Caenorhabditis elegans: one gene and its partners. The protein of the gene in region 1 purifies or fractionates together with the protein of each later gene. This does not show direct contact. Each region holds a gene or a part of one and is shown in the gene's direction. Other genes may lie near its edges. The genes, in order: hmg-3, ddx-10 and vgln-1.

Region 1 (7,081 bases):
AAATTAATGTTCAAGAGCTCTACTATTTCTTCGACACTTTTTCTCACTGAAACTTGATAGACTCTTATTCTGCAACTCATATGCCAACTGAGAACCATACCCAATTTCTCAACAATATCTGTTAGTTTTATCCGAACGCACAAATATATTACAACACCACACTGCGAATATTTGGAAGAGATGTCATCACACCCACTTTCCATCTCTTCACTGTCACCTTCTTATTCCCATAGACCACCAGGGGCGGAGCAGCACACCGTCGTTGCAGGCAGAACGAGCAAGAGTGCGCGAGAACAGTGTGTGCAAGGTCAGATGGTCATTATGCAACCAATTCGAGCGTTCGTTGACCAACATTTTCGCGCGTTCTGTCAGTCTGTTGAATTGTACACTATTTCATAGTATACTCTTTTTTTCAATTTATTAACTCTTATTATTTTTCTATCTCTATTTCTTTTCTAGTTTTCAGATGGTTCCAATGAATCCAGAATTGATGCATTATCCAAATCAACCACATATGATGCCAGGCTATCCAATGATAAATGCATATCAACAGTCATATTTACAGAATCCGGCACAGTAAGTTTTTATATTTCTGTATCCAGTCATAACTTTTCGTGCATTCGAATTATTACAAAACACCAATTCTCACTTTCAGATGGACCCCAGAAATGCTTCTGTGTATGCAAATGCAAATGCAGCAAATGGTTCCAGGAACAGCAACAAACTCAACCTACATGCCACCACAATCTAAAAATACAGTCACTCCAAATGCCACATCACCGCTGAGCCAGATTTCGGACAGAGATTCGGGAAATGACACAATCTCTCCACCACTCACTTCACAGAACAGGTATGTATTTCTTCTGCGCGGTAAAAAGAAGAGTTGCGCAATGTTTGAGTGTTTGGGCGGTCTCTACTTTATGGTCCAATTTGTTTCACGCAATACGTAGAAACAGGTCACCTTGTGACGTGGCAACTGGGTAAGAGAGTGACAGGTCAGAAGAGGGGGCAGATGGGGGACTGTATTGATGACGTGGCAGATGTTACCTCCTAATGATGAATCATATTGAATCCTATTGGCAGGATTCAAGACATCTAAACGGGAATCTCTTTCAACTGGCAAGGTTGGAAGTGGGATTTGAAAATTCAGTTAGTGATTTCAAGTTGATGTAATTTTTACCAATTCACACCTAATTAGAACAAAGAGCGGTTAGATGCAACAAAAAATATTTTAAGATGTTGTACAAAGAGATTAGGTGAGAACAATAGAGTCAGATTTAGCGGAATTTGAGAACACGGTTGTACAGTATGCCGAGGGAATTCTACGTTTCAGCGAGTTACTAAATTAATAAATAAGGCAACGATGACTGGAAGATTACTTTATCCTTTCTATAGTAAAAACGTTAAATTCAATTTTTCAGCGCAACCACTCCAAACTACCATAATCAGCCACAAATGCAATTGACTCCACTTCAACAAGCAAAACCAGAAAAAGAAGAAATCTCACCATATGCAATTAATAATATTCTTTCTTCGACTCAAAGTTCTCCAGACAACGGAAATGAAGCCGATGATAAAGAGAACAGTTCTGTTCGTCGTAACACATTCCCAGCGTCATCTGCTTCAACAAAAAAGCCACGTGGTACTCCATATGACCGTACTAACACACCAATGACAGTAGTTCCACAAATGCCACAGTTTGCTCCAGACTTTTCAAACTATAATCTCACAATGAATGCTTGGAGTGAGTTCTTTAAAAAGGATAGATGTATGGTTTGTGGTGATAACTCTACTGGATATCATTATGGAGTACAGAGTTGTGAAGGATGCAAGGGATTTTTCAGAAGAAGTGTTCACAAGAATATCGCATATGTTTGTACCAAAGGAGAAAATTGCACAGTGAGTTTAATTAGACAAGCATTTCAAAAATATGCTATTATATTTTTCAGTTCTCATATGAAAATTGTGCGGCAAATCGTGGAGTACGTACTCGTTGTCAAGCTTGTCGATTTGCCAAATGCCTCGCAGTTGGAATGAATCGTGACAACGTTCGAGTGAACAAAGAAACTGATAAAGATGTTAAACCATCAGTGGCTTCGCCCAATTTTGAGATGACATCACAAGTGAAAGAGCTTACGGCCGCCTTTGTTGCAAACATGCCATGCTCTACTCACTTAACATCGGGAACTCATGCTATTGGAGCAATTAAGAAATTTATTGAATCAGTTCCAGCTTTGAGCTCACTTTTGCCAAAAGATGAAAAAGCACTTGAAATGAGTATTCAAAAAGTGATGAGTGGTATCTTGGCTATTCGTGCGGCTTTCACATTTGATCCAATCACTTTCTATTCCTGTGAGAATCCAGTAAATTTGCTTCGTGGCGGCATTCGTAATACAGTATTCAATGATTGTGAAGTTGCACTTCTCTCTGGAATTCATATACTTCAAATAGTCAATGGAGGTGTCGCTGAGGTAAGTAATTGTTTGGCATAATGCCAAAATTGTCGGAATATTCCCAAATGACACAATTAATCCCTACCATAACACTCAAGAAAGTAAATATTGCGCCAAGAAAGTTAACCTTTTTCAGATTTTTACGAGTTATTGTCAAGGATTACGCCATCAACTGTCTCAAACACATCTACAAGAGATAGGACTCTGCGATCGATTGCTCATGAGATTGGGACCGTATCTCAATCAATAACAAATATATTACTTCTGATAAATTCAGAACCGATTCGGTGTCTGGACACGCTTCCAACCGGTTCTGAATTCTCACAAAACTTTATTCCTGTCTTATGAATCAATATAGATTCAAAATACTTGTTTAAAGTCCCCTTCCCCCGTTACTATCATTTTCTATTCATGTTCTCAAAGTCTGATCATTTCTTACTGATCTCTTCCTCCAGGTGTGAATTTAATTCTCTATCTCACTCTCTCGTTCGGGCTATATACTGTTTCTTTTTGAATTTCCAATTGATGTTGTTTGTTAGGCTGTTACAGTACCAAAAATTATATTATTTGAAGTTTGTTAAAAACTTAATATATTTGGTACTGCTTCTTGGTTGTTGAAAAGATGAAATAAATATTATTTGATAATTTAACTATTTTGTATGCAGGAAAAAATTTGACGTGCCACAACTTTTACCGTTATTTGTCGTAATTTGTCGTAATAGTAATTTGTCAATTTATTTGTCAAAATTAGTCAATTATTAAAAAAATAATAAAATTAATAGAAACGGTCGTCAGATGCGGTGCTTGCGTATACAGTATACTTCGGTGTTCACGTATGATCGACTACCGTAGTTCTTTGTTTTCGGTTCGACGCGCGAAAAAATTAGAGTGCATTTTTCGAGAATTCATTTTTTTCATTCTTTTCCGGACTTTTCTTGTTCGCGGACGTTTTTCGCTTCTTTTCTTTACACGCGTTATTGACTGACAAGTTTCAGAATGACTGAGCTCAAATTCAAGGGAGTTTACGTGGAGGATATAGGCCATTTAACATGCGGAACGCTTACATTGACTGAAAATTCGATTAACTTCATAGGCGATAAGGGTGGAAAATCAGTTTACATCACAGGAACCGACGTCGATAAACTGAAATGGCAAAAGCTTGGCAACAAGCCGGGACTACGCGTTGGTCTTAGTGATGGAGGTGCTCACCGCTTCGGAGGATTCTTGGATGATGTTAGTTTGTTGTTCGTTTTCTTTATTTTTATACGTTTGTAGTCTCATTTTATTCAAATTCGAAATTTCAGGATCTTCAGAAAATCCAATCGTTCACTTCTTCTAACTGGTCTAAATCTATCAATCAATCAAATCTTTTCATCAATGGATGGAACTATGGGCAGGCCGATGTCAAAGGCAAAAATATTGAATTTTCATGGGAAAATGAACCGATTTTCGAAATTCCGTGCACGAATGTGTCAAACGTCATTGCCAACAAAAATGAGGCTATTTTGGAGTTCCATCAGAATGAACAAAGCAAAGTTCAGCTGATGGAGATGAGATTCCATATGCCAGTTGATCTAGAAAATGAGGAGGATACTGATAAAGTAGAAGAATTCAAGAAAGCAGTGCTGGCATATGCTGGATTGGAGGCTGAAACTGAGCAACCAATATGCCTTCTCACTGATATTCTGTGCACAACACCTCGTGGAAGATATGATATTAAAGTTTATCCGACAAGTATTGCACTCCACGGAAAGACGTACGATTACAAGATTCCTGTCAAAACGATCAATCGTCTATTCTTGGTTCCTCATAAAGATGGACGCCAAGTATATTTTGTGTTGTCGTTGAACCCACCCATTCGCCAGGGACAGACACACTACAGTTATCTCATTTTCGAGTTTGGGAAGGATGAAGAAGAAGATTTGGAGTTGTCGTTGACTGAGTGAGTTTATTTCAGAATTTTCTGGGAACAATTCCGTGCCACTCAAATATATTTTATATTGCCGTCCAATAATTTGAGAGTATTTCAGTGAACAACTCGACTATTTCAATGGAAATCTTCAACGTGAAATGACTGGACCAATCTATGAGACAATCTCAATTCTCTTCAAATCAATTTGCAATCTGAAAGTCACCGTTCCTGGACGATTCCTCGGAAGTTCGGGCACTCCTGCCATACAATGTACACATCGTCAGAACCTTGGATTGTTGTACCCAATGGAAAAGGGATTTTTGTTTATTCAAAAGCCGGTCATGTACATTCGCTTTGAAGAGATTAGCTCATGTCATTTCGCACGTTCTGATAGCGGAACTGTAACAAGAACTTTTGATTTTGAGATTGATCTGAAAACTGGATCATCGTTGACTTTCAGTGCAATGGATAAAGAAGAGAACAACAAACTATTCGACTATCTAAACAAGAAAGAGATCAAAATTCGCAATTCTCATCGTATCGATAACAAATCAGCTGGTTATGGAAGCAGCGATGAAGATGATATCGATCCATACAAGTCAACTGTGAAAGCAGAGGGTCGTGAACAAGATGATGACAGCGATGATGAAAGTACTGATGAGGATTATGATTTGGATAAGGATATGAAGAAGCAGAAGAATGACAAAGACTCATCAGAAGGTTCTGGAAGTGAACCTGACGATGAATATGATTCTGGCTCAGAGAAAGATGCTTCAGGAACTGGAGAATCTGATCCAGATGAAGAGAATATTGAACCAAAAAAGAAGGAGAGTAAAGAAAAGAAGAATAAACGCGAGAAGAAAGAGAAGCCGGTAAAGGAGAAAGCTGTGAAGAAAGGAAAGAAAACTAAAGATCCAAATGAGCCGAAACGAGCAACCACTGCATATATCATCTGGTTCAATGCCAATCGTAATTCAATGAAAGAAGATGGGGATACACTCGGAGATGTTGCTAAAAAAGCCGGAGCAAAGTGGAAGTCCATGAGTGCGGATGATAAAAAGGTATTTTTATAGACTTTTCAAATCAAAAACTCTTTTAATTTTAGAAAAAACCATGATTTTCGAATCTAAAAAATTCAATCACTTTTAGAGCCATTAAAAATGTTTTGTTTTATCCCGTTAGTAATTATTTTTATTCAGGAATGGAACGATAAGGCTGCACAGGACAAGGCAAGATACGAAGCGGAAATGAAAGAATACAAGAAGAATGGTGGAGGAGTAGAGAAAGCATCTGGACCATCCACGAAGAAAAGCTCCGATCAATCTCCGGGTAAACAGTTCAAGTCTAAGGAGCATATCAGTGATACGGATGATTCCGATGACGATGAGCCGCTAAAGGCGAAGAAAGACGAATCCGATGCTGCCTCCGAGTCTTCTGGTGAATCGGATTGATTTTCTGACTAAATATTTTATTGTTGCTTTTTATTCGCCTTCCTTCTTACTTTCATAGATCTCTTTCATCCTCTTTCCAATCATTTACCCATTTTATATTGGATTCCCATTAATTTCAATTATAACTGTAAAATGAATTTATCGATGATGGTTAAAAAGAGAGAAAAAATCAGTAACAATAATGGCATGGGGGATTGTGAAAAATGATTACAATATTAATATTTAATACGATATTTGAAGATTCCAATTCAAAAGGGGGATTGTTTTGAATATAACTAGACGTCTATTTTGAAGCAATCAATTAGAAATGGAAAGTATAATTACTTGCCTGAATTTGAAGGAAAAGATAAAAAAATAGACGAGAAAAGAAGTACTAAATGATTAATCAAAAATGCATTAAAAAGTTCAAAGTATTCACAACAATCATTTTTAATCTCCAGACCGTTCCATAGCGATCGTAATTCCAGATTTTTCAAGGTTCGCAATAGCTCTTTCTTGTTTCGACTCTCCGTGTTTCGTTTTTGGAAGCGTTTGAATCGATAATTTATGTGTTAAATAAACTCGAACAGGCATCAATCCAGATTCTGTTGCAACCGGCATTTCCATCAAATCTTCATCTGAAGCACTATCAATTTGACCGATAATATACTTGATACGATCCCGAAACTCGATATTATAATATTTGATTATATCAACTGTCGTTTTTTCTTTTTGTGGACCTTCAAGACGTTCCAAAATTGTCTCCTTCGTGTTTACTGCCTGTGGATTTTCGGGATTCAGTTGTTCTTGGAATACTGTAACACTTCGGTAGACCAGCAAAGAATTGGCTGATTGTCGTCGATATTGAGCCATTATTTCCGTGAAAAGCATTGATGACTCATTTATCTTCATAATGACAAACACGCAACAAAGAAGAATTTGATCAAGATGTCTATCCATAAAAATCAAAGTGTCATTGCGAAGAAGATAATCGAAAAGTGACCAGCATTGTGATTTTGCACGAGCTCCCATTGAAACACGATCAGTGAGATCTTGAAGTCGACGAGCGGCGGTGAAATAAGTCTGAATAATGGATTTTGCAAAATTGAAATAAATGTTAGACTAATCCAATCAAGGGTGCCGGTTTTTTAGAAAATCGAAATTGTTTCGTTTTTTTGAGTTCAAGAAAAAGACCGAAAAATGACGATTTTGTCAAAAAATTGTGACTGTTTTTGAATCCGAATCAAAAAAATTGTGGCAAAACATTTTGGAATTGTTTACCAATT
Region 2 (7,081 bases), 3.3 Mb from region 1:
ACTGAAAATGGAGAGAGAATCGGTATTTTTGAATATTTTCGCGAAAAATTTTCGCAGAATTAAAGGTGGAGTAGCGCTAGTGGGAAAATTGCTTTAAAACATGCATATGGTACCACAATGACCGAATATCATGATTAAAAATTTCAAAAAAATTTTCTAAATTTTATATGATTTTTTGAAAATTGAAAAAATCTCAGTTTTTGCCTAATTTCAATTTTAATTACCGCCAATTGGATTTGTTCGATGGAGCGCGCTTGCACGTTTTTAAATTTATTTATTTTATTTATTGTTATTTTCCACCGATTTTTAATGTTTTCGGTGTATTTTTGCTTGAATTTTAGAGAAAAAGTCAAAAGAATTGCAAATTTTCAATTAAAAAGCACGCTTACAGGCGTAAATCAGTGAAATTTATTAATTCAGGTTCGAAATCGTTTAAAAGCGTTACTTTTCATTTTTTACGCCTCTAAGCGTGCTTTTTAATCGAAAATTTGCAATTATTTTGACTTTTTCTCTAAAATTCAAGCAAAAATACATCGAAAACATTAAAAATCGTTGGAAAATAACAAAAAATAAAATAAATAAATTTTAAAACGTGCAAGCGCGCTCCATCGAACAAATCCAATTGGCGGTAATTAAAATTGGAATTAGGCAAAAACTGAGATTTTTTTCAATTTTTCAAAAAATCATATAAAATTTAGAAAATTTTTTTGAAATTTTTAATCATGATATTCGGTCACTGTGGTACCATATGCATGTTTTAAAGCAATTTTCCCACTGACGCTACTCCACCTTTTAAATATATTTATTTATTATTTTTCTTTTCAGGTAGCTACGACGGGCATAACGGAGCCGTGTGGGATATCGACGTCTCATGGGACACTACCAAGTGTGTCACCGCGTCCGGAGACCTCACCGTGAAGATTTGGGATGCCGAGCTCGGCAACTGCCTCTACACAATCAACCATCAGACTCCGATGAAGTCGTGCGGATTCTCGTATTCAGGAAATTTGGTGTGCTTCACCACACAAAAGATGACAAAGAATCTCTCGACGTTCCAAGTCCGAGATCTTCGTGATTCAAGTCAAATGGTTGAGGGTGGAGAGTCATTCTTCTACTCACAATTCGATGTGAACGCCACGACCGCACTTTTCACTCAGATGGATGACCTCGTGACGATCGGATTCGAGTCTGGACTCCTTCAGCAGTACGATTTGAGAAATCCGGATACACCAATTCACACTAACGAGAGTGTTCATCGTGTTCGTCATTTTTTCGTTGTTCTCTGGAGCGCTTGCTGACACTTTACGATCTCCTGAATTGGCGGAAATTTTATTGCTAATTTTTGGTTTTTATTGTTGTGGGGAAACATTATTAGAGCCGAAAGTGTGTACAATTTGGAAAATTGGCGAAATTTCGCATTAAAAAACCGTGCGCGGCACAGTTGCGAAGAAGGCGTGCCAGGGTTGCATCCTGACTCCGCACACAAGATTAAAACCAAAAATTCGAAGAAATAATTTAGTTTTCTCGAAAAATGGAACAAAATCGGCAGTTTTTTCGATTTGAAAGCCGTGAAAATCTCATTTTGAAGAGAAAAAGCAGCAAAATCCGGCAGTGATTGATTATTTTGATTATTCTAATTTTTTTCAATGAAAAAACCAATTAAATCAATTAAAACTGTATTTTTCTCTACAAAAAATGTATATTTTAAAATTCTGAAATCAAAAAACTCCCGATTTTTGATGTAAAACCTTAAATTTTACGCGTTTTCGAGTCGTATAAAGCTTCCCAACAACAATATCCATCAAAAATTTATATTAATTTCCATAGAAACCAAAATTAGCAAAAAAACCTTATTTCCCGTGGAAACAAAATTCCGCGAATTCGGGAGTTCGTGAGGTGTCAGCAAGCGCGCTCCAATGATTATAAGACCGAGGCTCCACGAAATTCAAGATCTTGTGGAATTCCGGATCTGGCACCGTACCAACTCAAAAAAAATTAACGCAATTTTTCTGGAAAAAATCCTGACAACGATGCTCCGATGTTACGCATCGCGTGTTGTTTAGCGTTTTTCCTGAAGAAAATTTAAAAAAAAACCACATTTTTCTTCGAGAAAACTGCGAAAACTGCAGTTGGCACGGTGCCAGATCCGGAATTCGACGAGATCTTTAATCCGTGGTGCCTCCGTGATTTCTAAAATAATTTCAAAAAAAAAATTTCCCAAAATTTCAGTACAGCGTCCAAGATCTCCAACTATCACCACGCGGCGATTTCCTGATCTCCGCTTCACGCGACAAGACGGCCGCCCTGCTCGACGTGAACGATCTGAAAAAGCTGAAACAATACAAATCCGAGCGTCCCGTCAACTCGGCATGCATCTCACCGAATCGCGATCACATTTGCCTTGGAGGAGGAGAAGACGCGATGCAGGTCACACAGACGTCTGTCTCTGCTGGACACTTTGAAGCCAAGATCTATCATATGGTGTTCGAAGAGGAATTCGCCAGATTCAAGGGACATTTCGGACCGATTAACACGATGGCCTGGCATCCATCGGGCACAATTATCGCGACTGGAGGAGAAGACGGTATGGGGATTCCACTGCAACTTTTTTTTTGAACGAGGGACGAGGAAATGCGGTTTCTAGGCCATGACCGAGGATCCGACAAGATTTATCAGCAATTTATCTTGCTTTGTTTTCCGCGTTTTTTCTTTTATTTTTCACCGATGTTTCCCCCGTTTTTTCTTATTAAAACTGATGAAGAAATATTGTTTTTGCAGATGCTAAAATAATTTTCAAGTGAAAAAATTGTGAATTCAGCCGGCAAGTAGCGGTGGAAGTGGTCAATGTAATATGATGGATTACGGGAATACTAAACCTAAACTTTCTTCCAAAACATGCTATAAATGCTGCTTAGATGCTGAAACTACCTGATTTTAATAACGAGACCGCTGAAAAAGTTTTGAGATTTTCAAAATTCAACCTTTTTGGCGAAAAAGTCGAGATTTTTCCACAAAATGTTGAATTTTGAAAATCTCAAAAAACTTTTTCAGCGGTCTCGTTATTAAAATCAGGTAGTTTCAGCCTCTAAGCAGCATATGTATCATGTTTCGAAAAAAGTTTAGTGTTTAGTATTCCCGTAATCCATCATATTACATTGACCACTTTCACCGCTACTTGCCGGCTGAATTCACAATTTTTTTCACTTGGAAATTATTTTAGCATCTGGTTTTAAAAAAATTTATTTATCAGTTTTAATAAGAAAAAAACGGGGGAAAAATCGGTGAAAAATAAAAGAAAACTCGCGGAAAACATTGCAAGATAAATTGCCGATAAATCTTGTCGGATCCTCGGCCATGGCCTAGAAACCGCATTTCCTCGTCCCTCGTTCAAAAAAAAGTTGCAGTGCGATTTGAGGATTTTTCATATAAAAATTCAAAAATTATTGATTTTTTTCCAGGTTACATCAGAATTCAAGAGTTCGACGAGGACTACCTCGGCTTCACCTACGATTTTTAATTTGTTCTACGTTTTCGTTTTCTTCCTGTTTCCCGGGCGATCGTATTTGCCAAAAAAAGACCGTTTCCCCCTTTTTCCTACTCGTTCCTGTTGAAAACCGCCTAATTTTAGAGTTTAAATGACGAATTTAAGCCTATGCAGTTCGGAAAACCTTTAAAATTTATCAAATTCTAAAATTACGCGGTGGTGATTTTCTGTTTTTTCCATTTTTTCCATATTTAAGATCAATTTTCGGTGGCTTTTAATTGTTTTTTTTTTCATAAATAAATATTATTTTGAGTTAAAATTGATCTATTCCCTCGAATTTCTTGGTTTTAATCTCCAATTATTATATTTTTAAAAAAAATTAATTTTTTCTCAATTAAAAATTAAGAAAAATTGTGGGCGGAGTCAGAATGCAACCCTGGCACGCTTTTTTCGCAACTGCCGCGCACGATTTTTCCTGCAATTTTTAAATATTTTTACCCAATTTTCAGCGTTTTCAATGCCTCACACAAACGGAAAAGGCGGCGGAGCACAGAAATGGGCTGGAAATAATAAAAGAAAACGAAATTTCGATGGCGAGCAGGATCCAAGTGTCAGAAAAGCGTTGAAGGAGAAGCGGCTTCTGAAAAAGAGAAAACAGGATTTAAAGGGACAGGAGGAGACAATGCTCGACGAAGTTGAGCAGAAATATCAGGAAATGCTCAAGGTAGCTCTAAAAAATAGTTTTTTTATTAAAAAATCGATTTTTCCAGAAAAGCTCCCGCACATTTCTCCGCTTCGAGGATTTCCCGCTCTCCTGGAGGACACTGGAGGGTCTCAAGGATAATGACTACACAAAACCCACAGAAATCCAACGGGACACGATTGCCTACTCTCTGACCGGCTCAGATGTCGTCGGAGCCGCAAAAACCGGCAGCGGAAAGACTCTGGCACTGGTGATCCCCGTGCTGGAGGCTCTTTGGCGAGCAAAATGGTCTCCAGACTATGGTCTCGGAGCGCTAATCATTTCACCGACACGAGAGCTGGCTCTTCAGACATTTAGCACAATTAACGCCGTCGGAGCCCATCACGGATTCTCGTGTGGCTTGGTTATCGGCGGAAGTGACGTGGCATTCGAGAGAAATCGCATCAGCGGGATTAATATCATCGTTTGCACACCGGGACGTCTCCTACAACACATGGATGAGAATGCTCAAATGAGCTGTGATTCGCTTCAAGTTTTGGTGCTCGACGAGGCGGATCGAATGCTTGATATGGGATTCTCGAAGCAGCTCAACTCGATCATTAATAATTTGCCCGCGGAACGTCAGACGCTGCTCTTTTCGGCTACTCAGACACGAAATGTCAAGGATTTGTGCAGAGTTTGCACAAATGTGAGGGATTTCGCCCGGAAAATTGAAATAATTCCGGAATGGTTCATTAATTGAATAGGAACACGGAAAAATCGGCAATTTAAACACGTTTTCCACGTCTAAGAATTCGATTAATTTCCCAAAATCTCAATTTTTGCTTAAAAATTTATTCTCAAATTTTAACACTAAAAAAAATCCAGAAACTAATTTTTCCGTGCCTTAAAACTCAATTTTCTTGGAAAATAACTCTCAATTTTCAAAAATTTGCATGAAATTCGTCCAAAAAACTTCTAAAATGACTTTTTTCGATTAAAATTTAAAAGTTCGGCTCTTTTGCGACAAAAATGCGGTGATAAGCTTCTCTTTTTACTTTTTTGATATGAAAATCTGCAAAAACTGGTCAATTTTAAGTCAGAAAATTGGTATTTCACACCAAAATACCAAAATTGGCCATAAAATACGGTATCCGGTCTCGACACGACAATTTTTGTTCAATACAAATGGCTGTGCGCCTTTAAAGAGTACTGTAACTTTGAATTTTTGTTGTAGTGGAGTGGAATTTATATTTTTGTTGATTAAAAAATTGAGATGAAACTCAAATTTTAACCGAAAAAAAAAGAAAATTCCATGCTGCAACGAAAATTTGGAATTACAGTAATCGCTTAAAGACGCACACCCGTTTGTATTTACCAAAAAATTGTCGTGTCGAGACCGGGTACCGTACTTTGGACCAATTTTGGTCTCTCCGGCTGAAATACAATTTTTCTGACATAAAATTGGCAAGTTTTTGCAGAATTTCATACAGAAAAAGTGAAAAGAGAAGCTTATCACAGCATTTTTGTCGCAAAAAAGCCGATCTTTTTTAATCGAAAAAGATAATTTTATAAGATTTTTGGACGATTTTCAAGCTAATTTTCGAAAATTCAGCCGTTTTCTTTCATTTTTCGAGTTATTATCTTAGAAAATTGAGTTTAAAGGCAAGGAAAAATTAGTTTTTAGATTTTTTAAGTGTTAAAATTTGAGAATAAATGTTTTTGAAACATCAAAAAAACACTTTTATTTTAATGATTTAAAACCAAAAAATTCGGATTTTGGGTAATTAATCGCATTTTTAGAATTTTGGAAACAGAAAAATCCAAAGGAATTTTTTGATAAATCTAGCTAATTTTCGCTGAATTTCACTGAAAAAGTATAGTTTTTCAGATTCAATCAATCTTTAATTTAATTTAGTTTAAAATTAATTTAAATTAAGTTATATTAATTTACAATTTTAATTTAAAAAAAAAAAACAAAATTTCAGAAAAATCCATGTAGAAAATTCTGAATTTTTTGAAAAATCCACTGATGAAAGCTGAATTTTCCCTGAATTTCACTGAAATTTTCAGATTTTTTACGCGATTTCCCAAAAAATGGCAAATTTTCGACATTTGTGAAAATAAAAATTTGATTTAAACGATTTAAAACCAAAAATTTTGGAATTTTGGAAATAGAAAAATCCAAAAAAAAAAGTGGAAAAAGCTGAATTTTTCGAAAAATTTCTCTGAAAATTTATAATTTTAAAATATACTAGAAATTATAGGTTAAAATTAATTTAAATTTAATTATATTAAATTAATTAATTAAAAATTTTAATATTAAAAAAAAAACGAAATTTCAGAAAAATCCACGTAGAAAATTAAGAATTTTTTGAAGAATCTAGCTAATCTTGCCTGAATTTCACTGAAATTTTCAGAATTTTTACGCGATTTTACCTAAATTGCCAATTTTTCAGGACCCCGTCTTCGTCTCCGTACACGAAAACGCGTCAGCAGCCACTCCAGACAACCTCAAACAATCGTACGTAATCGTGGAAGAAGAGCACAAAATCAACGCTCTTTGGTCATTCATCGAAGCCCACCGAAAAAAAAAATCGCTGGTTTTCGTGAGCAGTTGCAAGCAGGCTCGATTCCTGACTGAAGCCTTCTCACAGCTCCGTCCCGGGCTCCCGGTGATGGGTCTATGGGGAACGATGAATCAGAAGAAACGAATCGAGACTTTCACGAAATTCGACGAGAGCAAAGCCGCCGTGCTCATTGCCACAGACGTAGCGTCTCGAGGACTCGATTTTGAGCATATTGATTGGGTTATTCAGGTCAGAAATTATAGAAAAAAAAACTATAATTTCTAGTATTTTTCGAAGTATTTAGTTTTCAGAGAAATTAAAATTCAGGGAAAACAACGATTTTTG
Region 3 (7,081 bases), on another chromosome or scaffold:
GAAGTTGACGCAAGTTTTTTCCCTTAAAAATGATTGTGATGTTGAACAAAAAGTCACAAAGTTATTGATAGGCATTTTATTATTATAATTATGAATTACAAAAAGAGATCATCCAAAAACTCGTCAATCTCGTCGTCGACGGTTTTCTCTGTTTCAGCAGGAGGCGGTCCTTCCCAAATATCAGTTGATGCAGACAGTGTGGACGTTGATGGTTGAACTGAAAAAAAAATGTTTTAGTATTTTGATGGTGAAGGTATAATTTTTATAATGGACGAAAATCGAGAGAACTTGAAAAAAGTCATTCTGGAAACTTTACAAAACTTTCAGTTTATTTCTTTAACTACTGTAGAGTTCCGCGAAATTGCTCAAAAATGAATTTTTGCAGACTAGACTAGATTTCAATTCCTAGGAAAAGGCGAAAATTCTGGAAGTTTTGTTTTAAATATATATTTCTGAAAACAATTTTTTACCAGAAACAACATTTTTCGCCCAAAATTTAAAAAAAAAGTTCGTTTTTTCAGACATATTGTTCATAATTTATGGATTTTCTAAAACATTTTGAAACATGAAATTTTCAAAACTTGTTTTGTGTTTAAGGTTTATCTCCTGATTACGGTACTTTTCTGACAAGAATTGAGGTTTCAACTTAAATTATAATTCTATGCAAATTTTAGTTTATTTTAGATTATTTTTAAAATTTTGTTTTAAATAATATTGCACCTTTGGTTTCTTGATTTTTCGCTTCATGTTGATTCAATTCTACGTCATCATCTTCTTCCTCATCCTTTTTAGTTCGTTTCCGTTCTTTTTCCCATTTCCGAACTGCTCGTTTCTTCTGAACAACTTGTCGTTTACGTGTTCCGTAGTTGAGCTTTTCCGAGCATTTTGGGCATAATCTCGCCTTCACCAGCGTACTTTTGACCCGATTGTCTTCCTTGTAAGTGAAGTTAACCTAAGATACTTTTATTTATTATTATAGAAATCTTTAAGGAAAATCTCACCTCCCAACTAGATAAATGAGCAGTTTCATTACATTTTCTTGCTCCACACGATAGTTGTCCTTTTCCTTCTTTTACTTCATTTTCAGTTCGCCATCGCATACCTATTTTGTTCGTTTTGTACATGGAGAGATCAACTATGCAATACTCTGAAATAAACAAACATTAATTTAGAATCATTAATCTCATATTTTACCTTTAAATAATTTATCGTAATATTTCTTCGCCATTCTCGTTTCCCATGAATTTTTATCAGGTTGTGAAGCGTTAATTTCATCGTCCTCACTCCAAACAAATCTGTGATGCTTTTTAAGGACATCCAGGTCAGTTGTTTCGTCTTGAATTTTCCGATTTAACAATTTCGTAGCTCCCGGGTATGAAAGATAATATAAATTGATCATTTCCTTATGTCGATCATACGCGTTCATAGACATCATTTTTGCCATTCTTCTATGCATTCTTCCGTGCTCTTCTTCAAAACCACCTCGTCCATCAGTCTTTCGCTTTTTCAGAATTTCACTCGAATAATCTTTATTCAAAAAATCTCCTTTTCTCTTCGGTTTAGAGCTACTTGAAGGCTCATCTCCAAAATCTGATTGTAAATCGTCAATTCCATGGTATGGGTTTCGAATTTTACGGGGATCCATTGAATATTTAACTGAAAAAACTTAAATTAATGCAAATGATATGTTTATAGCATTTTTGGTAATTATTTTCAATAATTTCCTAAATTAAAACGCCAAAAACATGTTTTAACCAATTAAAACACAAAAAACAAGTTTTAAAAAATTGACACAGCTGAAACGAGTGTTACCGTACCCCGACGCGTCTCCGAACCAGTTGCCACACTGCAAGTTCGTTTGCTCTGAAAAAACTTGTTTCTGGATATTTTTTTTGCATTTTTGCGATAATTTTAGATTTTATTTTTAAAATTCGTTATGATTATTCGGAATATCTGTGCATTGAAACCTTGTTTTAGGTCCCTTAGTCGTTGCGTCGTGAGTTTGAAAACCGTTTTTTCGATAGACATATTTTGTAGGCTTCTCCTTTCTAAAAAATCATTTTTTATCTTGTTTCACGCTATATGTTCTTTCTGAGAAAATCATAGTTAGAAACATGACAAAAAATTTATCCTGCGATGCGAATTAATTCTCGGTAAATGTCTAGGTTTTTCCCAATTTAAATTTGTCTTCTATGAATAAATTAATTGAAATCTAGGAGTATTAAATAAATGAGATTCCCGCGAGGAAACTTTTTTCAAACTCTAATCCTCAGTTGCCATGTTTGCAGTTTGTGACCCTCTCGTTTTCATTATTATTTTTATGATTGTTCTTGCCATACAACTCAACTCAGTCTATCACTGCCATCTTATCAGTAGTAGCCCGACATTTTTGTGGCTCGTTTTTCTATCTAACTGGTGTCCATCAATTGAATGTCAATAAGTTTTAAGGTGCAATTACGTGTATCTATCACTCAAAATTGGGTACATGATCCCTATCGCAGGCTAGTGGCGGTGCTAGCTGCGGCTGATTTTATCTATTTCATTTGAGGTGGATGGAAAAAGAAGATAGTTGATGGAACGGCCCTGACCTAGCAACTATAATCATCCTTCTTGCATTTCCCGATTAGCAATTTGTCAGATTTCTTATTTCTTAATAGTTGTTTCTTTCGCTCCTTCATTTAGTTCAAGTTTCTTTTTTTAGCGTTATTTTACAAAAATTATGAATAGCGTTCAATTCTGATTTCTTTCTGGTTTTAATAACCCTTTTCCGAATTCCTTAATGTTTTTGCCACACTTCTCGAGACGCTAGTGAAACTAGGGAACTTTAAAAAAAAAGAGCGGCACAAGACCAGCACCGCCACGTTGTCCATCGTTCAAGAAATGCAAGAGACGCAGAGAAAGAGTGTTCTACGTTCCAACGGGGAACTATGCGAGGAGGAACTATCCTACTGCCATCTTTACTGTGTAGTTGGCCGATTTGTGTATACGTGGTGTTTGCCCTGCGAGAGAGAGAAAGAGAGAGTCTGATCGTAATACGATTCGGCCCTGACCTATTGGGCTAAATTCATACCACTGCTTAGGATTTTCGACTTCGGTTTTCGAATATACCTTGCCTTTCAATGACAAAAATAATTTCGTGAATCATACCTTCTAGCTGTTCAGAACTCCTTTTGAAAAATACACGTCGACTTGCCTCTTCTTTAATAATACTAAAATAATAATTCTTAATTGTGGTCAGATTTCGATTCGTAAGCCTCGCAAAATTTCAATTTATCTTTTCCAATTCTCCTTTCTTCCTCTATCTTTTTTGCTCCATATGACTTTGAACAAATAGTTATCTTCTTTTTTGTAGGTATTGTTTGATTCGGACGGTTCTCGAGCCTAGTTCGGTCAACATCACAGGTCGCCTCAACAGACTCCCCCGATCGGATTAATTGCCTTGCGCACGGACCCCCGGACACGGATCAGCCAACCCTTCTGACAACACGAATTATGGACAACGGACATATTGGTTGGTTAAAATTAAAAAAATATATCTTCAAGTTTTTTTGTTTCAGAAGAGACTAATAATGTCGAAATCGACCCAGCCACTGGCGGAGCTGTCATGAGCTTCAGCTATGCTTCAGATTTCCCAACCCTTCCTGACGCTGCCCCTGCATCTGCTCCAACCGCCAAACAGACTCACGTCTGGTCTCGCCCGACTCTCTCGAAATCTGAAGTTAACATCACTTTCCGTTTGGCCTCGGACGAGCGTTCCAACAAGGTGAAGAGCTTTGGAAGCACGTCAGAAGAATCAAAGAAAGCCCAGGCTATTGCCACTGCTACTAGTGAGTTTTCCCAATTCCAACGAAAATCTAATCATCTCCGCTTTCAGAGACCAGAATTGAACTCAGTGAGTCAAAGGACGGAGAACTCACTGTCGTGGTGAAGGGAGAGCGCGCAAAGGCTGAAGAAGCTCGTGCTCGCATCATCCGCGATCTCCAAACCCAGGCATCTCGTGAAATCGATATCCCAAAAGATCATCACGGACGTCTCATTGGAAAGGAGGGAGCTCTTCTCAGAAATCTCGAGGCAGAAACTAATTGTAGAATTCAAATCCCAAATCGCGATGGACCATCGTCGAAGATCACTATCACTGGACCACGCGAGGGAATTCAACGTGCTGCTGCTCACATTTTGGCCGTTTCTGAGCGCGAAGCCAAACTCGCCACAGAGCATATCGTCTGCCCAAAAAATTTGGTTGCATTTGTTCGTGGCCCAAAAAATGAGACATATGATCGCCTTACTCAAAACAATGGTGTCAAAATTAACATTCCACCACCACACGTAACGAACGAAGTTATTTCGGTAACCGGAGAAAAGGATGGAGTTCTACGTGTTGCTGCTGAAATTCGCCAGATCATCGAGTCGAAGAAAAATGTTTCGAGCATTCAAGTTGCAGTTGCTCGCACCCAACATCGTTACATTGTTGGACAATCTCGAAGCGGAATTCATGATGTTCTTCAGAAAACAGGATGCGTTGTTGAAGTACCAGCAGAAGATTCGGGATCTGACCAAGTCACACTTATCGGAAACGCTCAAGATCTTGCCAAGGCTCTGGCTCTTGTCATTGAGCGTGCTTCATCTGTGGTCACCCAATCTATTTCTGCTCCAAACTGGCTCCACAAGCATTTGATCGGACCAAAAGGAGCAACTCTTACCGCTCTCGTGCCAAACCGCAATAACGTGCAGATCGAATTTGATAACTCTAACCAGATTTTCCTCGAGGGATCTCCAGAAGAAGTTAAGCTAGCTTTCGAGCCACTCAGCAAGGAAGTTGCTCGTCTTCAAATGGAGCTCGCTATCGAGAAAGTCAAAGTTCATCCAACACTTCATCGTCATGTTATTGGACGTGGTGGATCACTCATCTCAAAAATCAAGGATCAACATGGTGTTCAGATTACTATCCCTAACGAGGAAACCAACTCTGACGAGATTGTTGTTGAAGGAAAGAAGGAAGGTGTGAAGAAGGCTGTTACCGAAATTCGGGCAATTGTCACAAAGATTGAGAACGAAAAGTCGCGTGATATCATCATTCCACAACGTCTCCACAAGCTTATTATTGGATCGAAAGGCTCCGGAGTTCAAGTCATTCGCGATTCTCATCCAAATGTATCGGTTGTGTTCCCTGATGCCAAGTCGAAGTCTGACGTTGTTAACATCCGTGGAGACAAGACTGAGGTTGATGCTGTCTACAAGAAGCTCACCGCTCTTTCTAAGGAATATGTAAGTTGAAAACACATTATTAGACGATTTTAATGAATTTTCATTTCAGGCTGAGAACAACTACCAACAAACTGTTGCAATCTTCAAAGAGTTTTTGAAGCATATTGTCGGAAAGGGAGGAGCCAGCATTCGCAAGCTTCGTGACGAAACCGAGACCCGCATTGATCTCCCAGAGAGTGGATCTGACGATGGAAAAATCACTGTCACTGGAAAGCAAGCCAATGTGGAGAAAGCGGTCGCTCAGCTGAACAAAATTCAAGAGGAACTCGCCAACGTTGCTGAAGAAAGTATTGAAATTCCACAGAAAGTCCAATCTCGATTCTTTGGAAATGGACGTCGTTTGATCTCGGACATTGAGGACGAGTGCGGTGGAGTTCATATTCGTTTCCCATCAGAGAAAAGCGAATCAACCAAAGTTACCATCCGTGGACCTGCTGGAGATGTTGCAAAGGCTGTTGGACTTCTTTCTGCTCTTGCAAAGGACAAAGAAGAAAATTATGTTGAAGATACCGTCAAGGCTAAGCCAGAGTTTCATCGTTTCCTCATTGGAAAAGGTGGATCCAAGATTGCCAAACTCCGTGACACCCTCAACGTCAGAGTTATGTTCCCGAAGGAAGGAGATGCTGAGAAGGAGACGATCCATTTGCTCGGAAAGAAAGAAGACGTGCCAAAGGCTAAGGCTGCTCTTGAAGACGCTATCAAGCAACTTTCAGAGACTGTTGACATCAAGATTACTGTAGATCCAAAATACTACAAAAACTTCCTCGCCCGTGGAGCTGCACTCGTTAAGGAGATCCAGGAACAGAACGGTGGAGTAGTCATTTCATTCCCAAAGAATGGAACTGACAGCAGTGAAGTTTCTATCCGTGGATCGAAGCAATGTGTTGAGGCTGCGAAGAACCGTATTGAAGATGTCGTTGAGGACTACGAGAAACAGATCACAGACAATGTCACCATCCCAGCTCAGTTCCATCGGGGACTTCTTGCCGGACGCGGAGCAAAGATCCACGAGCTCCAGTCAAAGTACAATGTCTCCATTAGATTCCCCAACAATCGCGAGGAAGGCTCAGAAGGATCCGATCAAGTTACTGTGTCAGGCCGTGACACCAAAGTCGAGGAAGCCAAGGAGGCTCTTCTTGCCATGGTTCCTATCTCGAAAGTCATTCAACTTCCAGTTGACATGCACCGCTCGATTATTGGTCGTGGAGGAGAGACCGTTAGTTTTTTTAGTTTTTGAATCAAAGTTTAATGAGTTAAATGTTTCAGGTTCGCAAGCTTATGCAAGACTATGATGTCAACATCTCTATTCCAAAGGACAACTCCAGCGAGGATATCACCGTGACTGGTCAGACTGAAAATGTCGATCAAGCTCTTGAGGCTCTCCGTGGAAAACTTGGCGAATACGAGGCTCAAGCCGAAGACCGCAAGCTCAAGCAATGGTCAATGTCCATCAATGTTCCAACTGATTATCATCAGAAGATTATTGGACAACGTGGAGCCACCATCACTGCTCTCAAGGAAAAGTACGGTGTTATCATCAATGTACCACGAGAGGATGGAAACGAAACGATTACCATTCAAGGATACGAGGAGAAGGCTAACGAATGCGCCGCTGCCATCGAAGAGATGATTTCTGAGCTGAGATCTATGTTCACTCAAGAAATTAGCCTTGATGCCAGATATCATCCACGTCTTATTGGACAAAGAGGAAAGAACTTGAAAAAGGTCATGGAAGACTATCGTGTCGAAATTCGTCTTCCACGTCAAGGAGCAGAAGATCCAAACTTGGTTGTCGTTGCAGGAAAAGATGAAAATG

The links.
Region 2: the proteins of hmg-3 (region 1) and ddx-10 purify together in Caenorhabditis elegans (affinity purification with mass spectrometry, with the first as the bait; 2 studies listed by BioGRID). This does not show direct contact.
Region 3: the proteins of hmg-3 (region 1) and vgln-1 purify together in Caenorhabditis elegans (affinity purification with mass spectrometry, with the first as the bait; 2 studies listed by BioGRID). This does not show direct contact.

The regions. Positions count from the first base shown.
Region 1 is NC_003279.8:5,814,494-5,821,574, reverse strand, and holds hmg-3 (FACT complex subunit ssrp1-B), read left to right. Parts: upstream 1-3,442; 5' UTR 3,443-3,449; coding exon 3,450-3,686; intron 3,687-3,757; coding exon 3,758-4,395; intron 4,396-4,483; coding exon 4,484-5,426; intron 5,427-5,564; coding exon 5,565-5,816; 3' UTR 5,817-5,966; downstream 5,967-7,081. Other genes in the region: Nuclear hormone receptor family member nhr-2, read left to right, coding at 467-576, 656-850, 1,422-1,899, 1,950-2,471, 2,590-2,703; Retinoblastoma-like protein homolog lin-35, read right to left, coding at 6,246-6,878. UniProt on the Caenorhabditis elegans protein: Component of the FACT complex, a general chromatin factor that acts to reorganize nucleosomes. The FACT complex is involved in multiple processes that require DNA as a template such as mRNA elongation, DNA replication and DNA repair.
Region 2 is NC_003279.8:2,485,983-2,493,063, forward strand, and holds the start of ddx-10 (ATP-dependent RNA helicase), read left to right. Parts: upstream 1-3,993; 5' UTR 3,994-4,001; coding exon 4,002-4,208; intron 4,209-4,254; coding exon 4,255-4,875; intron 4,876-6,625; coding exon 6,626-6,985; intron 6,986-7,081. Other genes in the region: eif-3.I (Eukaryotic translation initiation factor 3 subunit I), read left to right, coding at 1-22, 826-1,259, 2,230-2,584, 3,459-3,517.
Region 3 is NC_003280.10:9,887,353-9,894,433, reverse strand, and holds the start of vgln-1 (K Homology domain-containing protein), read left to right. Parts: upstream 1-3,352; 5' UTR 3,353-3,492; coding exon 3,493-3,511; intron 3,512-3,557; coding exon 3,558-3,827; intron 3,828-3,874; coding exon 3,875-5,265; intron 5,266-5,314; coding exon 5,315-6,481; intron 6,482-6,531; coding exon 6,532-7,081. Other genes in the region: C08H9.16 (Protein FRA10AC1 homolog), read right to left, coding at 96-217, 721-952, 1,002-1,147, 1,195-1,645.